4 linked regions of the Oryzias latipes genome follow. The protein of the gene in region 4 purifies or fractionates together with the protein of the main gene of each other region. This does not show direct contact. Links are inferred from orthologs where the notes say so. Each region holds a gene or a part of one and is shown on either strand. Other genes may lie near its edges.

Region 1 (5,785 bases), on a different chromosome or scaffold from region 4:
TTAAAACTACTCTAAATGTAACCTTACTCAAAATTTTACTTGCTTGCACTACACAATTTGTCCTCATTTTTACAATGTTTACATTTGATTATAGAAGGTTTAAATTGACCTTGCCACTTTGATGTATCCAGCTATTGTGTCTCCTGCCAAACTTTCTGAGAGCGATAAAGTTTCTTCTCGACTTGAACCAATGTAGTCAAATCCCTCAGGCAGGAAGGCCATGGAGGCTCCTTTCTCCTTAGCTTCCTCCACCAGCTTTTTACAGATGGAGAAGTTGGCCTCTTTGTTGGGGGTAGCTGTCAACTGACATATCGCAGCCAGAGGAGGAGGTGATGTGGACATCCTGCACAGATTGTTGCACGTCATTGATTATATTGTGGAGAACAGGAGCACAAATTAGAAAAAATAAAAAAAACATCCTTAGGCCTTTCCTTACTATGTTCGTCTACACTTTTGTTTGTTTGTATTTGCAAACAACAGTTGCTGTGAATAGGTCATGTCAACATAAACACAGAATAATATTTATAAAAAAAGAAGTCATTTCTACTTTTATTATATGTATTTATAAACTGTGAAACAAAGCAAACACAGATATAGCATAACACGTTTCATTGTCCCAGTAACAAGCATACCTACTTTAGCTGCGTGGTTTTGTGTCTCAGTCTTGCTAAAGACGCCAAATGCTTGGCACACGATCCCAAAACCCAACTGAACATTGATCCCGGGAACCGTCAACTTCCCTGTTTAACCCATTTTAGTTATTGGTTATCTATGTTTAGCTCGTGTTAGTGTAACATTAACATTTGCTCTCATTCTCAGCGGCAGAAGGTTGACAAAACACTCTTCTTCTCTGCAGTTAACGTGTAGCTAGAAACAAGTGTTTGGCACACTGCTTCCACCTACTGGACATATCTGTGCACTGCTTCCTTACACGAAGGAAGAATCGATTTAGAATAAATAAATGACACGATTCATTAAAAAATAATCTATTTACGATATGAAGTATTGTAAGAAGTAAAGAGAAAAATCACAAGTGTTTGAAATACAACAATATATAGAGATATTTAAAAAAAGTTTTTGGTATTTCATTTTATTTTTAAATGAAAGACTTTTTTTAAAAATACATACAGAAAAGGTTGGTTAATATTATACCAGAAGCTGTTTGCTATCACACTGTGGCAACAATCACATAGGGTCAAATTGTTATGCAGCGAAGTGATATACATTTGGTCTCTACAGGAAAAAGTTGAACATTTTAGCTGAAAATGAAAAAATAAATAAATAAAACAGTTAGACTACCCAAAGCTTTTGAAATGATCATTTCTAATTAGCAGAAACTTTTTAAAATTAGAAATGCCTTTCTTTCTTTAAATTTTATGTCATTGTAGCATGTCAGGCTGATTATTCTGTTAAAAGAAGTTAAACTGTTTTATCCTTTGATTTGTTCGAGGGAAAATGTTTACATGTTACACTTGTGTACTCTACTTGGATTTTATGGTAAAACATGTGCAAAATAATAATAATAATAATGCATTTTAGTTTCTAATTGGCCAATGCACAATCTAGTGAAACCCCGTGGTAGAAATCAATTGTTAGCTGATCAAATAAGCCTTTACTTACTTACTTACTTACTTACTAACTTACCCACTTACTTACTTACTTACTTACTTATTTACTTATTTACTTATTTACTTATTTACTTATTTACTTATTTACTTACTTACTTACTTACTTACTTACTTACTTACTTACTTACTTACTTACTTACTTACTTACTTACTTACTTACTTACTTACAGTTGTGGGGGGCAGATAGAAATTTAACTTGTTTCCCATTTTAAAAAAAAGGATCAATTTGATCTTAGTGCTGTGTCCGAATTTCCAACCTAATCACCAACTACTAAAAACGATATAGTGTCGTGGGTTTTAAAAGCAATTAGGACACCATCCTCACTATTTTTTTTCTTTTTTTAAAACGGGAAATATAACGTTACCGATTTCACGAAGTGAAAATCTGATCAATACATACTCCGTCGTAAATACAAGCAATTTACAACAACTATTTATTAATTCATTGCGTACTTGAAATAAAAAAAATATTGATTGTTTAAAAAAAAGCATTTCAACACATTGTTTTCGCAAAAAATGTTCAAAACGCAATGCATTGTCATTGATCTATGTTGGCCAATTTAATGAGCGTCGATGCACACTGGTTAATTTGCAGAGACTTCCGAGAAATTTCTTAGGAACTGGATTTTGAAATTGTAGATTCGGACAGCATTACAAAATTGCGAACGCACTGTATAGTGCACTGTGTAGTGAGTGGTAAAGGAATTTAGAGATGTATTTTTACACAGGCAGTCATGAGACTGCCTCTGCCTGTGAAAAAAAACTTTCACATGGGTCGGGTCCTTCAAGTGCACTCTATCAAGATGGCAGCCAACAGCAGCACGTTCAGCAAATCGAGCAGCAGCGCGGCTGGAAAACAGCCCGCGCAGTCAGCCGAACAGGTATCCTATTGAGTAGCGGAGTCTTTTGTCTCGGTACTCCTGAGATTGTGACATATTATTCGTATATATTCAGCAGAAAGTAACTAAACCGACGTACAGCCAGTCAGCGCTAACGTTAGCTTCCCCGTGGCCACAGAAGTGTCTTGCAGTCAGACCCATGCGAGGGGAAAGAAATTGTGAGCATGAAATTAGGTCCAATTTGTGCTATTTGCACATCATGGAATGGGATAACGTCAAAGATAAACTAAAGGTACACCATTCTGTATGTGGGTGGTGTGGCCCTCAGAATGGGTCTGACAGAGCATGATGATGCTATTTTTACTACTCAGACAGTCAACAACTATGCACAGCTCAAGGGCTACGGAAGCCTTTCATATAAGAAAAAAACTGTTTCAACACGTTGCCAAATTATTAGTATAAAGCGACGTCTTAGTGATAGACAATAACATGTAGACACACTATAGGAACAAATTAGCATAAAAATGGCAAATGTTGAAATGTATTAATCTTTATTCGATGTTTGTTGAAAAATAACATTAAAAATACATATGAACTTCAAAAAATTTTGGGGTCAAAATTAAATATTTTCATACAGGTTCAAAGAATACTGTGAATTAAGTCATATTAGGAAGTCATATTCTAAGTTATAAATTGCTCTTGATTGAAAAAAGAAAGTAAAGCTAAAAAAAATGGTACATACATTATATATAAAAAAAGTAAAACAATTTGAAATCATTAACATGGAGAAGGTTATGCATTTGGTCTGCTTAAATTGAACCAGAGTTCACTTTAAGGTCTGGGACCTTGACCCATCTTTGCAGGTGGTCTTGGTTAATTTCCAATCAGATTGAGCTCGGGTTCGCTCTAAGATTCCTCAATCTGAATACCACTGAACCTAAATGGCCACCATAGCTGACATAAACAGAGTAGGAATGTGGCTACAGATGAGCCGCGGACAAATAAGCAATTATTATCGTGTTATCAAACAGAAAAAAAGAGTTCAAGTGTTTATTTGTTAGAACGTTTATTTTAACATTGCTGAAAAGGCTACTTGCATGCTTTTCTGTATCTTGTTACGCGGCATTCGCCTGTGGCATGACTAAAAGCTATATTATAGTTTCCTTAACAGAATTCTCTAAAAACAATGCCCTAAAACCACAATGATGAGACACAGCAACTCATTGAAATGTGGTCAGATGAATGCAGGCTAATTAAAATCATTTTTAATGGGAAACACATTGTATCTCACTGCAGGCTGAAATGACACAATTCTGATTGTTTTTTGCCCCTATGCGACCTGTATCTGATCTTTTCATGACAGTCTGAACGACACAGATCCGATCTTTTCAAATGCGACCCAGGCCACTTGCGTATGTGGTCCTGAATCCGATATGTATCCGATCATTTCAAATGCGACCTCCGTCTGAACGTCCAGGCCACATGAATCCGACCCGTACGTCATTGATACGCTGCAAACATCATCATTTTTCGTTGAAGTAGGCGGGAACAAGAACATAAACATCAACCAATGGCGGACGATGCTGCTGAGACCAGTCAGTGGAAGGGAAGCGAAGTCACCGATTTGATTAATATTTGTGGTGACGGCTCTATTCAGGCCAAACTCCAGGGCTCTTTATCGCAACCATGCGGTTGCCCCTCAGAGAGGAGAGAGCGTGGCAGCCTACTCATACCCGACGTCTCGTCATCAATGCAGTTACTAGCATGCTCTGAGTTAAAGCACACACAGCACGTCTCCTTGCCACTGACCGCTTCGCAGCATGCCTTTGCCGTACCAAAGTAACAAATAAAAAGGCTTGTTCCCGACGTTCAAAACTGATAATCGAAAAAAATATAAAATTTTAATAATTTAACTGTTAAGCGGCACACGTCCACATTTCTCTTGTTTTGATCTGCCCTCGTAGTTCCTGGCCAATGACTGAAGAGATCTTTAGTCACATTGTTTTGTTTATAAGCTTTGGTCGCTAACAGAATGGGGCGCTTAACGCCAGTCTGATAAAGGCCTAACGCAAGGTTCGGAACTCGGTCCGGAACAAATTAAGCGGACTGGATCAAAAGGGACTGGGTAAAAAAAAAAACTCTCTAAAGTCACAATTTCCTTTTAAGGTTTGGTAAGTTTATTCAGCCTGAAAGCCCCTCAGTCTGAAACAGCTTACATGCTTGTGTTGGGATCAGACGGATGCGTCAAATGTCATTGGTCTGCATTGATGCCAGCTTTGCGGTGATGTTTTCAGGTGGTTGCCACCTTTCAGAGGATGCGTCAGGAACAACGCAGCATGGCGTCTAAAGCTGCAGAGCTGGAGATGGACATCAATGAGCACAGGTTAGCAGCTGATGACTTCTCCTCTGAGAGCTTTTATAATACTCACTTTTTATGTTTGATTGTTAGCAGGACAGCTAATTGGATCATGTTGGTCTGTAGTTAAATTGACCTTTTTACTTTATATACATTAAACTTAAAAAAGAAAAACATCTTGTAACTCACCTCGTCACATAACTGGTAAGTGGTAAAAGAGTAATAATTTTAATGTTTTTTTCTTTTTGTGTTCAGTTTAGTTATTGAAACTCTTAAGGAAGTGGACCCTTCTAGGAAATGCTATCGCCTGGTTGGAGGGGTTTTGGTAGAGAGGACGGTGAAAGAAGTTCTACCTGCTTTGGAAAACAACAAAGAACAGGTGAAAATAAACAAATAAAAGCTCTTTAACATTTATCACAGGAAGCTGTTTTTCAGGCTAATGGACATTAAAGTCTTACTCTGATCATCATTTGATTTATTTTAAAAACGTTCCCAGTGGCCTTATAAATATGACTATGCCGTTTTAGCCCAAATCGAGAAACGTGTCTTTTTCTAGGAAATTGTTTTTTGTAGCGCGGCTGGAGTTTGTTAGAAATTCACCTCTAAATTGTGGGGAGGACCAATAGGGCAGAGCAAACACCCCCCCCCCCCCCCCCCCCCCCCCATCCAGTCACCCATAACAGAGCTATCTGTTAACATTCTCTCCCGCTAGCTTACAGCCCCTCACAACCTCAACCTAACATGACACCACAAATGGTGAGCAATATTGGAGCCATTCAGCTACCCAGTTTTGAGCCAGGTGACCGCTCAGATGAGGAAAACAAAGATGTACATGGATCTATTTGTCTACAAGTTGATGTATAAGAATGGAGCAGAGCAGAGTGTTTGTGGCTCACCCAGTGTATTTTCTACGTCACAAATATGCTCTTTTTCAAATTGAATTTCTTTGTCTGCTCCTGATT
Region 2 (5,869 bases), on a different chromosome or scaffold from region 4:
CTGCAGCGTCCAGAGACTTCCTGTTTGAGTACGGCAGTCAGCTGCACACAAAAATACTCAAGTATTCAAAGTACTCCTGACAAATGTACTTTAACTGTAGATGAGTGCAGTGAATAAAGACGGAGGGGATTGTTCGTGGGAGAAACTTTTATGCCAACAGCCTCATTCTAGGTTAAAGCCTGACAGAATTCCTGAATATTTCCACTCTTGGTTTGTAAGTCTGCAGAGCTTCATGCTGGAGCTTCTCTGTGATCTCCTGCATGGACCTCTGGGCCATGTGGGGGTCGTCCTGGTGCCTGCTCTTTTTCTCCTCCTCCTGCACACCAGGTGTTTGGAAATCAAATGATGGCAATAAAAGATCCACCATAGGAGCCTTTCGGGGGGGGGGGCTTTCTGGTCTTTCGGTTTTCCTGATGTGTTCGGGTCGTTGCTGCAGTCCTGCTCTAAGTCATCATTTTTCTCGTTCCCTCTCCTGCATGCACTCTTCAGTTCGGTTAATAATCCATCTGCGAACATACACTCACAAACCCAGACACACCTTCACACTTCATGTTATTGTGTTGTTTATTATCCTTTGTTTTTACTAAACGCGTTGTGCAATTCTAAAATCATCTTCATCTGTCTTGTTATGATGTAGAACAGGAAGTCCAACTCCAGGCCTGCCGTTTCCCCAGAAATCCTGCCGTATCGGCTGCTGATTACCTGGATCAATTAGCCAATGAGAATCAGGTTGGTTTGAAAACATGTAGGACATAAACCCTTAAGGCCAGGAACTGGCCATCCCTGCCAAACAGTTACAAATTGTGGGCGTGTCTAACGGCCTGTTTAGCTGGTTGATTTAATGATTTCCACATCTTTTTGATTTTGTGTGCCGGGAGCGGGCACTTACTGGACTGTCAGTCTGAAGAGAGTTTTGGTGGTGTTCCCCGGTAGGTGTAGCAGCATTTCCCTGTGTGTTCTGACATCTTTCTACAGAACTGTACTGTGTCTGTGACAAAAACCACAGAACATCCAGTCTGAAGGCCCGTGGAGGTTCCTTCTGCTGTTGTGTCCCAGTCACTGACCCCCACTGCAGTTTGGTTGACCCTCATCTCTCCTTCAAACCTACATGGTCCTCACAGACCTTTAGGAGACACTTCACACCAACACAGAGGGGTGGGAGGGGCTTTATTGGGATCACGTGGCACAGAAAAAAAACGGATTACGGAGCTCTTCTGGACAGCAGCATCTCTCTGATGTTGTCTTCAGCCTCCTTCACGCTGCGCTCCAAGTACACCTTCTTCTGCTGCAAGAGACCACAAACGGGCAGCAACAGTCAGAAACCCGCAAACATGCACTGCGAGCTGTGATGGAGCAGGCACTCGCACCTCAAGCTCCTTGATCTTCTCGTCCACGGTTTTCTGTTTGTCTGTCAGCAGGTTGTTGATCTTCTCCCTGGACTGAAGAATGAACCTGAAACAACAGTTTTCTGTCATCTATAGGATCGGCAGGGCAGATGAACCTAAAGGCAGCATTCAGACATTAACGTTTCTTTATACCATGGTCCGGGTGAATACTCGATTCTGATTGGCTGCTGGGTGTGCATTAAAGTGATAATCCACGGTGATAATGTACGCCTAAAAAAGAAGTTCCGGGCACATAGCTTAACTGTTCTGTATCACTGCACTGGCTTCTTTAAAACAAACTTCAGCCTCATCATCTGGACTAAAAGAGGTAAACTTTCTCTCTGAACTGATGCTTTATTTAACCCGTGGTGACGATCAGCATATATATTGCTTTCCTTTGCCGCAGCAGTCGAGGTCAGTGGGGCTAAGCAGCGCGTTATGTTACCGTGACACGTAACAAATAGTCGACTTTTTGTGAAGAGAAAAAAAAGAGATTGGAACCATAAAAATGTTAGAATGAAAGGCCTAAAAACTGGTTATATATTTATTTCTTTTGTAAGTAATCATGGTAGCAGCGGATTAACGGCTGTCAAAGTGGGCACAATCAGAAATTAATGCACTTTATGGAAGCAACTGCGGAGGACGGTTGCTTCCACAAAGTGCATTCATTCATTCATTTTCTTCCGTTTGTTCCCTTTCGGAGTCACGGGGCTGCCGGAGCCTATCCCGGCCACTTATGGGTGAAGGCAGAGGACACCCTGGACAGGTCGCCAGTCTGCCGCAGGGTCACAGTCACACACCCATTCACACTCACATTCACACCTATGGACAATTTAGAGTTGCCAATTAACCTATGGAGCATCTTTTTGGACGGTGGGAGGAAGCTGGAGACCCCGGAGAAAACCCATGCATGCACGAGGAGAACATGCAAACTCAATGCAGAAAGGTCCCCCATTGATGTTCTGTTTCAGGTCCCCCAGCCGGGACTTGAACCAGTGGCCTTCTTGCTCCGAGGCAAGAGTGCTATCAGCATTAACGCATAAAGTGCATTAATGCTGATAAAGCACACTTTGTTGGCCATTAACCCTTATGTAGCTCAGTGTTTGTGCAGATCAGTTGCTAAACGCACATCCTCTTCAAACTTGTGTATAAAAGTGTTGACTGGATGTGAAGTTCATAAAGTCAATCAGGTCAGACAGAATTCCTCTGTCTGGAACTCTCATGGAGCCTCAGTAGCATCAATGAGGCCAATCAAAACCTCTCCAAAAAGAAATTTATGTGAATCTGGTGGAGATCTCCTTAAAATAAATGTAAAGTTTTCAAAATAAGAGGCACATGGTTTCACAACTGCAGTAGAACCGTGTGACACTGAGATTTCCAAAGCAGAACCAGACATTTGATGGAAAAACCAGACTGGTTTCATGTTTTTCAGATGTGTCTAACTCATCTGTGTTCTTTGGTGAGTTGGCATTGATTACAGGAGAGCACACTTACATTCGGCCGACGCCCTCGTACAGGCGCGTGTTTTCCGGCAGCGAGGAGATCTCTGTGCTTGTGAGCTTGGCATGTTTCTGAACTCGAGTCAGCTGATCAATCTGGAGGTCGGCCAGCTTCACCTTCTGCTGTGTGTCAATCATCTTCAGCTGTAGCTCGGCGAATGCCTGCAGAGACAGGAAGTATCGCTCTGTTCAAAGTCGAAAAGGAAACCAGGAGAGAATCAGAGTTTCACTATTTCTCCCATCTCTTCCTTTTCTCTGGCTTGATTCAGGAAGTCAAACAGAAAAATGAAACACTGCCTCTCCTGTAAATCAGTTAACAAGCAAAGCGATCTGCTACATGAAGGTAGTCTATGAAGATATAAACCTGGACCATTTAAATGTTTGCATAAAGGAGGTAAAAAAAAAAAACGACATCTGACCTAAAATAATCCACGACACTGAAAGATGGAAAACTGGACTTTAACATTTACAAGCATGTTTGTCATAATCTGGTTTCCTCAAACCCCATCATCTTTTGTCTCAGTGTTAATACCGCAAAGGATTGTGGGATTGGAATATGGTCCACCCGATCAGAAAGGATGCTCGGCCGTTTCAAAGAGATGGGGGGGGGGGGGCAACCTCAAAACTCATTTTGCTCTAAGGGGTTCAAAGATTCGGTGCAGGTACACAATGGTCCGGTTCACATGTTTGTTACTAGTGAAGTGACCGGTCAGCCGAATTTCGTGAACCTTCCGCGTGCACCACTGAATGCGGTATGGGTCACACTAATAACTACCAGCGGTAGCTGCCTGTAACCCAATATCGGAGAGTATGCGCAACCACGTGCGTCAGACATATGATGTGTTCGGCGTCCTGTAAACTACACACCTTTTTTAGTTCCAGGTCCACGGGCGCCGCCATCTTTAGAGTAGATTTCGAGTGCGCATGCGCAAGATTGTCTTCTTCGGGCTTATTTTGTGGCAGCATCAAGTTTGCCCACAGCCCCTCCCAGTAACGATGATCTATTTAAACTCCCCGTGACCTTTTTTTTAAAAAAAATAAAAACGTTCCCAGTGGTGTTTTAGTTACAATTACGACGTTTTTTTTAACTAAAATTCCACAAGCCAAATGTCTTTAAAATGTCATGTTTATCTGAAGCGTGTTTCCAAGAACTCCTCTACATGGGCGTGGCTATTGGTGCTGATTAGCTCCGCCCTCGATTCCCCCTATCTGCAAGCTGCGTCTTGCCTGAGTGAAGACCGATAGACAGTCCCAGAAATTGTAAAAATTGTTGAATACACTTGCATAGCACTATTCACACGTCATTTTCCAAATACTTGTGGCCAGTGCAAAACTTAATTCTTGAACACCCGGACCCAGAGGAAAGGTTAAGTTTAGTGTTATGGTTACATTTAAGGTGCGTTCACACTGAACGAGATTCGTGGCAGAGGTGGCCAGTTAAGGCCCGTACACACCGGGACGAATTTCGCGCGCGATATTCGCCGATGTTTAACGCCTCATGACTAAACAAAGGGCACCAATGTGAGTGTGCACACCGACGTGAAAAAACGCCACGCTTCAAAGCGTCACTTTATAAAAAATGCCTCGGGTTCGTTTTTTTGGTTTGGCGCCACGCGGCAAAAACTATACGACTAATGAGAATGGGGCTTTTGGACACGTGTCTGGAGCTTCTGAAGTTACAGTAAAACACAACTTGGGGGCGCTCAAACACAAAACTGCCTTTCTGAGCACACATACCAGCGAAGAAGATAAGACGCCAAGTGGAATCTACACTGCCGCAAAGAAATAATGACGGACATTCTAAAATATCCCCGAAAACGCTCATGATACATTTTTAGCTCTCGTACCAGTCGATAAAACTCCCCATGTTCTTCTCTTCTCGTAACTATGGGATGTACCCAAAATCTGCGTCTTTTCCAGCGTCTTTCATCGTTTGCTGTGGTGTCATCGGTATAAAGGTATTGTACTGCAAATAATGATCCTGTGTTAATAAAACTTTGACTTGCTTTACGGCAGTTATCAGTCTTTACTCGGTGCAACACATCATTCAACAGAACAATAATTTCTTCATTGCTGGAACTGGAGCTACTGGTGCTGGAAATATTCATGTTTTCTTTGTTTGATTCTGACAAGCGCGTAAATACTTGCTCTCTTCTTCTGAGTGAAAAGCGACTTTAAGAAGCGTAAAGTTGCGCAGCGCCACCTTGTGTACAGGGGTATTTCTGTTTTACATTAAGCGCCATCTAAAGTCAGGGAATGAAATTGCATGTTCGCTTGGCTCATCGTCAGCGAAAATCGCCTGGGTGTGAACAAAAAAAACGTGGCGAAAAACGCTGGCGAATAATGCCTGGTGAATATTCGTCCCGGTGTGTACGGGCCTTTACAATGGCAATGGTTGAGTCAATGGCAGAGACACGATCTGGGGTCCTGCGGCGCGATTTGAGCGCAAAGGTCTGGCAGTAGCAATGTGCCAATTTTATTTTTTAGCAATGGGCTTTTTACTCTGATGGCAAACTGTAAAAACACATCAAGAGCTCACAATCATATACATGGAGTTCCAAAACACAGATTGTTCAAATTTGCGCATGCGTCTTGAAGTTTTTTTATTTAACAGGAATAAAATAGAACTTTTTAGAATGTTATTGTCCCCACAACGGGGAAATTAAGCAATTAACTGGCTGCAGTAACGAAAAAGATCAAATTAAACAAACAAACAATCAGTAGGATACATATACCAAACTTTTCTTTGTTTTTTTTAATATATTTTTTTTATTTCTTTTTAACGATTGCTATGTTTGCCCACCAGTTAGCCTACTATAGCTCTGGGTTAGCTTTGTTGAGTTTGTTATTTTTCCATCCATTTTCTCAAACCTTTCGGGGTCGAGGGTGCTGCCAGAGCCCGTCCCGTCTACTGATGGGCGAAAGCGGGGTACAGAGTGCGGGAATAAACTAGCTGACAAAGTGGGGAACTCCCGCCCCACTTCA
Region 3 (5,884 bases), on a different chromosome or scaffold from region 4:
GAGGTTGCTTGTAAAAAGATTTAAGTAGGCAAAAAAAAAAAAAGCTTCAGATGATATATTTGCTGTACTGCTCTTGAAAACTATATCAACTTAGAAATTCTAATGACAACATTTATTAACTTGCATGTCCACTAAAAAGCCTGTTATAACAAGCAAATCAGTTAAAACTGAAATATAAGATATATTTAAACATCTTGTCAATAAAAAAAAATGTAGGGATTATCGGTACGTTCTAAAAAAACAAAGTCAAACGTTTGTTTAAGTTATAGTGAGCACTTTAATGATCCGACTGACCAAAGCAACACAACAGTATCGGTAGAGTTTTTGTGGGTGGAGTTAAAAATGCAGAAAGTGTTGCTCTCATTAAGCCTTGCTGGTCCCAACCGCCTGTGATCCTTGCTGACTCTGCAGCTGCTGCAGCTTCATGTTCATCACTTCAATCACAGCTGCAAGAGGGAAAACCAACATATTAAACCCGGATGCCAAAGGGACAAAAATATATTTAAAAAGAAAAAACTTTCTTTGCTGCAACAGATGCTTCATTAAATCTGAGGATAATGAAATAACTATAGTTTGTCCCGACTATAAAACTATCACTTCAGTCACATTAGCGCCTCATTAAATGTTATTTTTGTCTTCCATAAAGTAATAAGATGATATACAACAAAAATAAGAATAATTCCCAGCCCTATATCATGCGTGAGAATGGCCTACCTTGTTTCATGCCGTGTTTTTCCTGGAGAGTTGGCTGAATTTTCTCTATCTGCTTGGTGAGGAAGTCTATTTTGCGCTTGAAGAATTCTTTTGAATCTTTCACATTCTGGGAACAGAAACAGTAAGATTTACAGTCTACTGACTGTTTATGAAGTTCAAGTTTCAAAGTGCTTCCACTTTTACCTTTTCCACATAATATCCCGTTCCCACATCCACCAACACGTGCTCCACGTCGTTTAATGTGCCGGGGACGTACATCTGTTCAGCAGCTCTGCTTAAGGTCAATAGAAACAAGCTGTTTACAGATGCACAGCAAATGAAAACGGTTTGTTGGAGTTTATCTAATTTGTGGAACTTATTATATAAATAAACCTTTTCATGACAACTATAGACTTTGTAAATGACTACAAAAGACTAAAAATAGTTAGATGGATAAAGGATACAGAACTGGTGAGGGGGACGAGTAATTCTTTTCCTGTATGGAAGAAAGAGGGAAAGTTGTTAAATTCAACCATCTGTATATATTAGACATTCTGTAGCCTCCAAGACTGAAGGACAGTCGGAGACTTGGACCTGGGACTTGAGTGACACTTCAGCCTCACATGCACTGACTTGACATTTGACGTCAAGGGCTTAAAACACGACTTGGAGCTTAGGATTTAGGATGTGTGTACGATACGTATTTGTTTATTCTTGTTATTTCGCTCCGTAACATCACTGTCACCTTGAAGCTCATCAAGAGAATGCCAAGAGTGTGCAAAGCAGGAATCAAAGCAAAAGGTGTCGTAAAATACTTTTTTCTTTGTGTTTATTTGATTATATTAAAGACTTTTAAATAAGAATGACGGTACCGTGATTTAGCTGCAGTATTAACTGTTTTCTGAAAAGTCCCGCCCCTTTAACTGTCTCCGCCAATCATTCTTGGAGTCTTAATCATACGTCATCAGTCTGACCAATCAGAAGTGGTTAAAGTCTTCACTTCCTTGTTCCATTTCTGCTCATAAAGTCTCTCAGTTCCAACAAAAATACCAGCTAAAGCTCGTCTTTAGCGGTGTAGCTTTCCACAGAATCCGGTGTCAGACCGTGGAACAAGGGAACAAAACCATGAAGCTCCAAGACGCCAGTCTGTCTGGCGTTTGCCGGCTGTTGACACTACATCTCCCATGATGCATTGGGTTAAAGTGGCAGCGTATCAGTGTACAATGAGTCTTCCTTTGACGTCTTGAAACCACAACGAACACACACCAAACAGTTTTTAAATCTTCTAACTTAACTTTTATTACATCTTTTAGAAAACCAGCTGCAGCTTCCAGCTTTTTCTGCCACAATGATCACAACAATGCATGTGAGATTGCAGAGGGGCTGTAGATCAAAACAGACTAGGAGTTTTATTTTTATTTTTGGATGCTGGTGTGCCACAGGATTTTTGTCAAGGTTAAAGTGTGCCGTGGCTCAAAAAAGGTGTGAAAACACTGATCTATGCGCACGTGGTGTGACGGTTAAAAGAGGTGCCATCCTAAGCAAAGTTAGAAGTAAAACTATAAAACATTTTTTAAAACATTAATGATCAAACAAATTACCAGTAAGGGACATTTTACATACCTTTGTTGTTTTCGGTCAGTACATTTAAACTGTCTTTTGCTTCAACATACTTGGTCTGCACAACTTTGAACTGGCCAATTGAAGAAGTCAAGAATTCAACTTCCTGGGAAAAAAAACACAGCATGAATTTCAAAAAAGCAATTAAAAAAAATTAAAAGAAACACCCCAGAGGAGTTCCATCTATGTACTCAGATACACCACCATTCACTAGTTTTAGAAAACGAATGTTTCCAGTTTTTTATTGACGCATAAGTGTGATGTTTTGTTGCATTGTGAAACAAAACTGATAGTAAAGCTGAGAAACTGAGGTTGCAAAAGCAGATCCTGGAAATGACCAAGTTATGCCAACACTCCTGCTGCCCCGTGGCCACAGTTTGCAGAAATGTTGAGCTGGCAGTTTCTTTCGGCCACCAAGCGCGGTCTGGACGGCGCTCAGCTGGAAATGATCGCACACAGGCTTTTTGGTAACGGTTTCAGTCGTGCTTTTGTGCAATTTTTCTTTCCAGCACGATTGTGTTCAATAATTTAGGTAGTTTTTCATTAACATAGTCATATCCTGAAATGCTACAACAATTTACTTCAGTGAGTGATGTTGTTATTTGATTAATTTTGTAGATGTTTAGCACTGACATCTGCCACATAGAGGTAAACTACACTAAACTGCACACCTGTGACTACTTCACCAGGATAGATTCTGTTGCATTTCTTGAATTCATTAGAATTTATAATAATTCCCAACGCCAGAATGCCTTATCAATAAGGGTATTATATGTTCTAGGGGTGTAAGAATAAACGTAGTTGAACCGAAGCGTTTCAGTACAGCAGGTTCGGTTCAGTTCACTTCTGTACCGTTAGGTACGTTTTTTCCCCCGGATGTGTGCATTGTAAAAACTCAGCTGCTTTGTCACTCATAGCGGGTGTATTGGTTGAATGACAACAATAAGCCTGATTCAAAATTTAACAAAAAAATGTAAATAATATAATGATAAGGCCAGGCAAGTTCAAACTGTGACTCATTTCTCTTAACTCTTGAAGGTCGCTACCCATCCTGTCTATGTATCAATTAAATCCTATAAAGTCTAAGGACAAATTGTAAAATAAACTATTGTCGGTTTTTTCTCTGTCAACTCAAAAACCCTTCTTTACAACCGAGCAGCACCTGAAACTCCACGCCCCTGCGGGGAAACATCATGACCCTCCGCGGCCGCTGCGCTGCTCTCATTCCCGCCTTTAGCGTAGACGCCTTCATGAAGAAGCAGCGGTCACATATTCAGTCTAAACTCACGCATTTTACCTGGTCCAGCTGGCCTTTGAGTCCTTCTAACTGCGGCAGAGAGAGGTCTGTGAGATTCACCGCCATGTTGGAAGCGTGGTGACAAAAGACGGATTCTTCTTCCGGTTGCGAGATGTACTTCCGGTTGACATATTTTCCGGTTTATTAGAACATGAAAGCTGTTTCAAAGTAAATATGATTTAAAATGAAATGCAAAAAATAAATAAATAAAAGGAAAGAAGAAAACTTCCTTTTTAAATATGTTGACTAGCTCTAGTTTATATGACTATTTTCTAACGCAGACTCTGCATAACAGTTTCTTTGATTGAAATTGAATGGGTTTTTTTCTGCAGAATATTAAAATTACGATAAGCATGAAGGTCAGTCGTAGTAAGACAGAATACATGTGTCTGAATGAGAGGGATCAAGGTAGAAGCGTTAGGTTACAGAGGGCTGAGGTGAAGAAGGTGCAGGAGTTTAAGTACTTGGGGTCAACAGTTCAGTGTGATGGGGAGTGTGGAAAAGAGGTGAAGAGGCGAGTGCAGGCAGGTTGGAGCAGTTGGAGGAAAGTGTCAGGAGTGTTGTGTGACAGAAGAGTGCCAGCAAGACTCAAAGGAAAGGTGTACAAGACAGTGGTGAGACCAGCTCTGCTCTATGGGTTAGAGACGGTAGCAGTGAGACAGAGACAAGAGGCTGAGATGGAGGTAGCGGAGATGAAGATGTTGAGGTTCTCCTTAGGAGTGACCAGGTTAGACAGGATAAGGAACGAGTACATCAGAGGGACGGCTCATGTTGCCTGTGTTAGCGACAAAGTCAGAGAAGCCAGACTGAGATGGTTTGGACATGTTCAGAGGAGGGATAGTGGATATATTGGTAGAAGGATGTTGGAGATGGAGCTGCCTGGCCGGAGGGCAAGAGGACGGCCAAAGAGGAGATACATGGATGTCTTAACAGAGGACATGAAGTTGGCTAACGTTAGGGTAGAAGATGTTCATGATAGAGTGAGGTGGAAAAGGATGATTCGCTGTGGCGACCCCTGATGGGAAAAGCCAAAAGAGAAAGAAGATTAAAATTACGATAAGAGACCATGGAAACGTACAATAATCTGGTTTTTAATTTAGTCAATTACATCTGCAGGTTGAACAACTGCCATGCAGTCTGTGGGTCAAGTATAGGGGCCCATACTTGTTCTAGTTTGCATATCAGTTACACGAAGCATTTGGCTGCATGTCATACTGTGTGTTTGTGACAAATATTTGAACTTTCTATTTTTGCTTAATATTTATTCAATATTGAAACATGCAGATTAATGACCTAGTATTTTCTAGACAAAATTGACACTACTTTCTTTATGCCATCACCCGCTTTGAAGTTTGGATTTAGGAATTAAATCTTAAGGTAGGCTACCTGAGGTTTGAAGCGTAGTTTATACTCTTATTCATAGACAAAAACGGCAAATTCTACCAAAACTCAAAAGAACCAAATTAAGACTTTTCCCCTCTTTTTCAGGACGTCCTGCTTCCTTTTTCATAGGCAGATTAAAAATTAGATTTGTCAATATTCAAGTAACACAAAGTAGAGAAAAAATCTACAAATGTAGACAACATTGATGCAGAGCCATTTCAGAATGTTTACAGCAAGTCTTCCTTAAACTTTGTTTTTTCAAGCTCTTACACTAAAGTTTTTATTTGTCGTCACCTCAGATGTGCATATGAAGGCAAATTGGGTAGCATGATGGTCCTTTGCGTCACTCAGGTGTTAAACAATAACAACCAGTTTTCAAACAACTTTTAAAGCCGGAACTCGAAATGTAGTTCGAAAATTAAACTAATCTCTCCCTAAATCTGATCAACAAGGTCAAGTAGACCCAATCTTCCCTGCTCCAGATCAGCTAGTCTTATGCTGTATTAATCCCAAAGTGAATTATAAAGAAAGTTTCAGAGAATCAAGTTTGCTCCCACAGTGTTAATACTAGTTTTTGGAGTCTTAATAACCTCTGGAAAACAAGCAAAATATGCATGAAGACATTTATTCAAAAAAGCAAATCATTTGCTAAAAACATTTGTACAAACCTATTGGAATCATTTTCAATATTAAAAATAGTTAAAAATAGAAAAGCTGAGTTAAATACAAGTCATACATTAGTAAAAGTCAAACATTTCTTCAAAAGAAATGACTCCATAATGTCACTTCCTCTTTGCAGCCTCAGTCCTACTGCAGGTGAACTGGAAGGCCGTAGACCACAGGTGCAGCCCCTATCAGGTATTTCAGGTTTGTGGCCTGACGTGATGAAGC
Region 4 (5,239 bases):
TCACAGCTGTGACTGCTAAGCAGGAAAACCTACCGGGGACACAAACTTGTTCATTGGGATCCCCAACCTCTGGTGATGTTCCTAAATCTTTTTCTAACTCATGCAAGCCGCAAAGTGAAAATTAATTTTAGTGGGACGTGTTCATACGGGAAAATCTAATTTAATGTGTGGAGACTTAACAGTTAACATTTTCTGGAAAGCTGCTGTTAAATTGCCTCAAACAGGCGAGTCTGCACATAATCCCTGGATTAAAAAGAAGCTGTGCAGGTGAAGGAGGTCAACACATTTACAAACATAAACATCTCATGCTGCCTTCTAAACAAGTTCATGAACCGATGACAGATGTAAACCGCCCCTTTAAATGTATTCATACTGGACACATTAGTGAACCAGAGTTCGTTTCCGATAATCCAGAACAAATTTTCAGTCTGAATACCTCCAAGGGGACCCTGATCCAGAACCAGGAACCGCTCTCTGACCCATCTTTGGAGGAGGTGATCAACCAGACTGAGCTTTTGTTCACTCTGAGATTCCTCCGCCTGAATACAATCCGTCCTTGGAGCGGGACAACTGAACCAAAACGGCCACCATAGTGGTGCATTATGGGATATAAACAGAGTAGGAAGGAGGTAACCGTGACAATAAAACACAGGAACTCATTGAAATGTGGTCGGCTGAATGCAGACCTAATAAAACAAGTTTTAACGTGAAACACATTACTTTGCACTGTTTTCCCCGAATTCTATACATCAAAAACAACTATTTAATAAAGAATTTTTAGGACACACTGCTAACAGAATTACACTAATCCAGCTTAGACGTAACAAATGTGTGGATGTTTGTCACGCTTGAGCTTTGTCTAACTTGTATGGTGATAAATCTAAAATTAAAAAAAAAAAAAATCACTAAAACTGTTGTTTTCTAACTTTATTAGCAGCATCCTCTTGACATTAGACAGCAGCTTGCTGAATATTATGCATTTTTATGGTCTGCGTAATTTTCACAAATAAAGCTTCCTTCAGAAACGAATTATAAAAAAATGAACGTTGTGTTGTTTTTCTGATGCCTGGTACCGGTCCACGGTTGAAATGACAGATTGTGAGGTGACGCTCTGTTCTGTGAGAGTGAAAGTTAAACTAGAGACACTTCAGATGTTCTTTATTTCACTTTTAACAGAAATTGTAGTAAAAAAAATCCTTAAATATATGCAGGTTGTTTTGTCATTTCAGACGGCATGACCATGAGATCTCTGAGGGGGAGGCTAAAAACTGCGACTCTAAAGGCTTGATGTATGGCGGCGAGGCAGAAATGGGAGGAAACGTTCGTGTCGGTGCAGCCGTCAGAGTCCGTCTGGAGCTCAGCTCTCATCTGCCTCCAGGTTGATGTTGTCTCCAAACTTGGCGTAGAGCTGGACCTTCAGGTCGTTCAGGACCTGCTGTATGGATGATACTCGCTCCTCGTAGCCTCTGACCTCCTCCTCTAGCGCCTCCTGTTCACGGAGAAGAAGAAGTTGTTGATGAGCAAGAAAACTTCAGGAGAACAGCTAAGTCTACTCTGACTTTCCAAATGACAGACAAATGCAGCTGCAGGAATTTGTTTTTGCTGACTAAGGACTTTAAACATTTTTAGGAGAAAATTTTCTTGTTTTAAGTAAGCTTTTATTTTGAAAGGAAGTGTTTTGAAAAAAGAATCATTCTAAAAAGGAAGAAGCAATGTAGCAAAATGTAGATTCAAAATTTTGTTTAAAAACATCATATAGATTTTTTTTAAACTTATGTTTGAATAAAATGTCATGAAGTTTCTTTTTCTGCAATTTATTTTGGAAAATGTCGTTTCCTTTTAAGCTTCAGTAAAAACTGGGACCAACTGAAGCCACAGCCACTGCAGTAATGATGAAGCCAAACAAAAAGTACAATTATCATAATATACAAGTGTTTGATTGTTTTTTTTAAACTAATAATTTAACTTGAAATGGGGAAATGGGCATGTTGGTGGATGTCAGTCAAAAAGCTCCACCAGAAGAATCTGAACGATGGTGTTAAAGCATGACAGACCGCAGACTTGCTACACACAGAGATCTTATTTGAAAAAGATTTTTCTAGAAATGTTCCAGTTAAGGTTGAGCTATATCCAAAATAATGCCAGAATTACAGAATGGTAAAATCAATTTGGCTCCCATCAGCCACCATCACTGTGTGAATGTGAGTGTAAAGCGATTTGAGCCTTCTAGGAAGGTAGAGTAAACATAAATTAACCCATTTGAACCACTTTATTAGTAGCATTTATACATAAAGCCAGTGGGGATCTTTATTAGAGTGAGTCCTGGATCGCATAAAGTACAAATTCCTTTACTGGAAATATCACCAATAACGCAGCAAACAGCCACATTCTTATTATTTTTCCTGAATTTAAAGCAGTGGCATGAGATCTGGTGCTGGTATGGATTGTAATTTTTCTTTCAAGGATCTTTTATCCTTTCTCACTTTCCCCATCTTGGCAGTAGATGATGTCACTGAAGGCTGTCTTTTTCATAAAAAAGGGAACATGGTAGGGATGCCACTATTCTCTGCTTAGAACCAAACATTTGTTCCATTGAACCGAATGGTGGAGAAAGTGAAGCAATAGGCCGGTCATACAATCTAATCACTTTTTAGTGGAGGTCTAATGATTCGCCAGTTAATTAATTTATATTCCGATGATTCAACCAGATCGATCTGTCTGAGGCATGTTGGTAATTGAATTCACCTATACCATTATAAAATCTTTTCTAAACGAAATAAATCGATTATAATTGATGTTGGGAAATATCATTTGGATTGAGGCTCAGTAGGTTTATTTTACGATAACGTAAAAACGAGCAAATGCATCACAGCGGAAAACACATGAGCAAAAAAATGATCCGTCCATCATTCCAGTCTAATGTGTGAAAACACAATGAATTTAGCAAAGTCATGTGACCATCCAGTGTGCTAAAATGTTCTAATAAAGTTCCTTTTGGATTCTTTGGATGTGGAAAAACAGCAGAACTTTAGGAAACTAAAATGTGAATGGGTTTGACATTCATTTTTCTTTACTTGTTTGTCTGCACACTTATTTAATTTACACTTGATGATCTGGAAGAAATACAAGGAAAGTGGAAAACTTTACCAGCACTGTTTAGTACCAGCTGTTTATCCGAGTCACACTGGAGGAATTTTTGGCTAAACCACAAATGAGGATTTGAATCAAACCGTACAAATGGATGGTTACACCACAAAAGTGCCTGAAAGCTAAAGATTTAACAGTTACTTGTCAAATAGAAGACCACGCCCCCATTTTGGGTCAAACAGATTCACTCCCATTAGACTTATTATGGGTAGTTCGTTTAATCATACATGAAAAACCAGGCTGCATGTGTTTGTTCCTGTGACCATATAGTTTTTTTTCATGTAATGAGGCTTGTTTCTCCAAATAAAGTTAAAAGTCATTTGGTTGATGGATTTGATCATTTTGTTTGGGATGGCATTAGAGTAAGATGGAATAATACATCTAGACCAGTGTTTTTCAACCTTTTCTGAGCCACGGCACACTTTAACCTTAAAAAAAATCCTGCGGCACACCAGCATCCAAAAATTAAAAAAAAAAGAGAAAGTCATAGTCTGTATTGATCTACAGCCCCTCCACAATCTCACATGCATTTTTGAGATAATTGTTACAGAAAAAGCTGGAAACTGCAGCTGTTTTTTTCTAAAAGATGCAATAAAAGTTAAGTTAGAAGATTTAAAAAAAGTTTGAAGTGTGTTCGTTGTTTTCAAGACTAACAACAGATCTCCTTGTGCGCTGTCACCTTCACAACCCAATGCATCATGGGAGATGTAGTGCATTAAACGGCCGGTGGAGATCGCTTTTCTGAGCTTCATTGTTTTGTTCACTTGTTCCACGGTCTGATACCGGATTCTGTGGAAAGTTACACCGCTAAAGACGAGCTTTAGCTGGTATTTTTGTTAGAGCTGAGCGACTTTACGAGCTAAATCGGGACAAGGAAGTGAAGACTTTAACCACTTCTGATTGGTCAAACTGATGACATGTGATTAAGCTCCCCAAGAATGATTGGTGGAGACAGTCAAAGGGGCGGGACTTTTCCAAAATACAGCCGGAGCTGCAGCTGAATCGCGGTACTGTACAGTCATTCTTATCAAATGTGTTTAATAAAATAAAATAAACGCAAAGAAAAAGTATTTTATGATCTTTTATATTCCTAACTCCTCAGTGTTTTATCAGGGCCTGTATGAATGAACAGAGAGCTGAAATCCTGGAGATGGAAAATGTTTTTAGATCAGTTAATGAGGACAATTTCCCACGGCACACTAGTTGAAAAACACTGATATAGACAAACCCTCCATCTTTGTCAGATAGATCCGACCCAACAGCGAAATATCTCTTTGGAGCCACATATTCAACCTCGTCTTACATTCATTAAGTTTTTCACCCACATTCCTTGATTGCCTTATTTTTTGGTCTTTGTTGATATAGATGCCCAAGTATTTAACTTCTGATTTAATGGGGATATGATTGATTTCTTTTAAAGGTGTGTCATGAATAGCCAACAGTTCACATTTCTTTAAATGTAAGTTTAACCCTGATGCTTTGGAAAAGTGTTTTACTTTTTCAATAGCTGCTTTAATTTGATGCTCATCTTTTAAAAACAGTGTTGTGGCGTCTGCTAGCTGGCTAATAATGATCTCTGTGCCCAAGACATTTAACTTTTTGATTTCACTACAATTCTTAATATAAATTGCCAACATTTCAGTGGCTAATAAGAACAGATACGGAGAGATGGGACAACCTTGAGGGATCCCTACATCAACTTTGAAACTTGGGGTGGTGCCATTAGGAAGGATAACACAGCTATTGATATTCTGATATAGACCATAGATTAGGTTTCTAAATTTAGTACCAAAACCCAAATTTTCCAGTGCTGTCATTATAAACGGATGCTCCACTGAATCAAAGGCCTTGTAAAAATCCAGAAAGAGAATAAAACCATTATCTTTTATAAGGTGTCGGTATTCAATGATGTCCATAACCAGTCTTATATTATTATGAATTGAACGGCCCTTCAGAGAACCAGATTGTGTTTCCGCAATAAGTCCTGAGAGTCCGGTCTTGAGACGAGAAGCGAAAATGTACGGTAATAATTTGTAGTCTGAATTTCTTAAGGTGATAGGTCTTCTGTTGTCTATAAGTCTAGGATCCTTGT

What was found.
Region 1: the proteins of pfdn4 (region 4) and pfdn2 purify together in Homo sapiens (affinity purification with mass spectrometry; 6 studies listed by BioGRID and IntAct, counting the BioPlex papers as one, with this or other methods). This does not show direct contact. The link is inferred for Oryzias latipes from reciprocal best matches to the Homo sapiens genes PFDN4 and PFDN2.
Region 2: the proteins of pfdn4 (region 4) and pfdn1 purify together in Homo sapiens (affinity purification with mass spectrometry; 5 studies listed by BioGRID and IntAct, counting the BioPlex papers as one, with this or other methods). This does not show direct contact. The link is inferred for Oryzias latipes from reciprocal best matches to the Homo sapiens genes PFDN4 and PFDN1.
Region 3: the proteins of pfdn4 (region 4) and pfdn5 purify together in Homo sapiens (affinity purification with mass spectrometry; 5 studies listed by BioGRID and IntAct, counting the BioPlex papers as one, with this or other methods). This does not show direct contact. The link is inferred for Oryzias latipes from reciprocal best matches to the Homo sapiens genes PFDN4 and PFDN5.

What each region holds. Positions count from the first base shown.
Region 1 is NC_019876.2:18,972,705-18,978,489, forward strand, and holds the start of pfdn2 (prefoldin subunit 2), read left to right. Parts: upstream 1-2,387; 5' UTR 2,388-2,398; coding exon 2,399-2,509; intron 2,510-4,761; coding exon 4,762-4,850; intron 4,851-5,078; coding exon 5,079-5,202; intron 5,203-5,785. Other genes in the region: nit1 (deaminated glutathione amidase), read right to left, coding at 110-346, 637-716. UniProt on the Homo sapiens protein: Binds specifically to cytosolic chaperonin (c-CPN) and transfers target proteins to it. Binds to nascent polypeptide chain and promotes folding in an environment in which there are many competing pathways for nonnative proteins.
Region 2 is NC_019872.2:23,089,399-23,095,267, reverse strand, and holds pfdn1 (prefoldin subunit 1), read right to left. Parts: upstream 3,917-5,869; 5' UTR 3,851-3,916; coding exon 3,752-3,850; intron 3,047-3,751; coding exon 2,880-3,046; intron 1,453-2,879; coding exon 1,368-1,452; intron 1,286-1,367; coding exon 1,202-1,285; 3' UTR 1,149-1,201; downstream 1-1,148. UniProt on the Homo sapiens protein: Binds specifically to cytosolic chaperonin (c-CPN) and transfers target proteins to it. Binds to nascent polypeptide chain and promotes folding in an environment in which there are many competing pathways for nonnative proteins.
Region 3 is NC_019863.2:4,451,413-4,457,296, reverse strand, and holds the start of pfdn5 (prefoldin subunit 5), read right to left. Parts: upstream 3,611-5,884; 5' UTR 3,566-3,610; coding exon 3,476-3,565; intron 2,420-3,475; coding exon 2,317-2,419; intron 1,190-2,316; coding exon 1,158-1,189; intron 973-1,157; coding exon 898-972; intron 821-897; coding exon 715-820; intron 447-714; coding exon 364-446; 3' UTR 1-363. Other genes in the region: espl1 (separin), read right to left, coding at 5,801-5,884. UniProt on the Homo sapiens protein: Binds specifically to cytosolic chaperonin (c-CPN) and transfers target proteins to it. Binds to nascent polypeptide chain and promotes folding in an environment in which there are many competing pathways for nonnative proteins.
Region 4 is NC_019865.2:24,673,161-24,678,399, forward strand, and holds the end of pfdn4 (prefoldin subunit 4), read right to left. Parts: intron 1,490-5,239; coding exon 1,358-1,489; 3' UTR 1,138-1,357; downstream 1-1,137. UniProt on the Homo sapiens protein: Binds specifically to cytosolic chaperonin (c-CPN) and transfers target proteins to it. Binds to nascent polypeptide chain and promotes folding in an environment in which there are many competing pathways for nonnative proteins.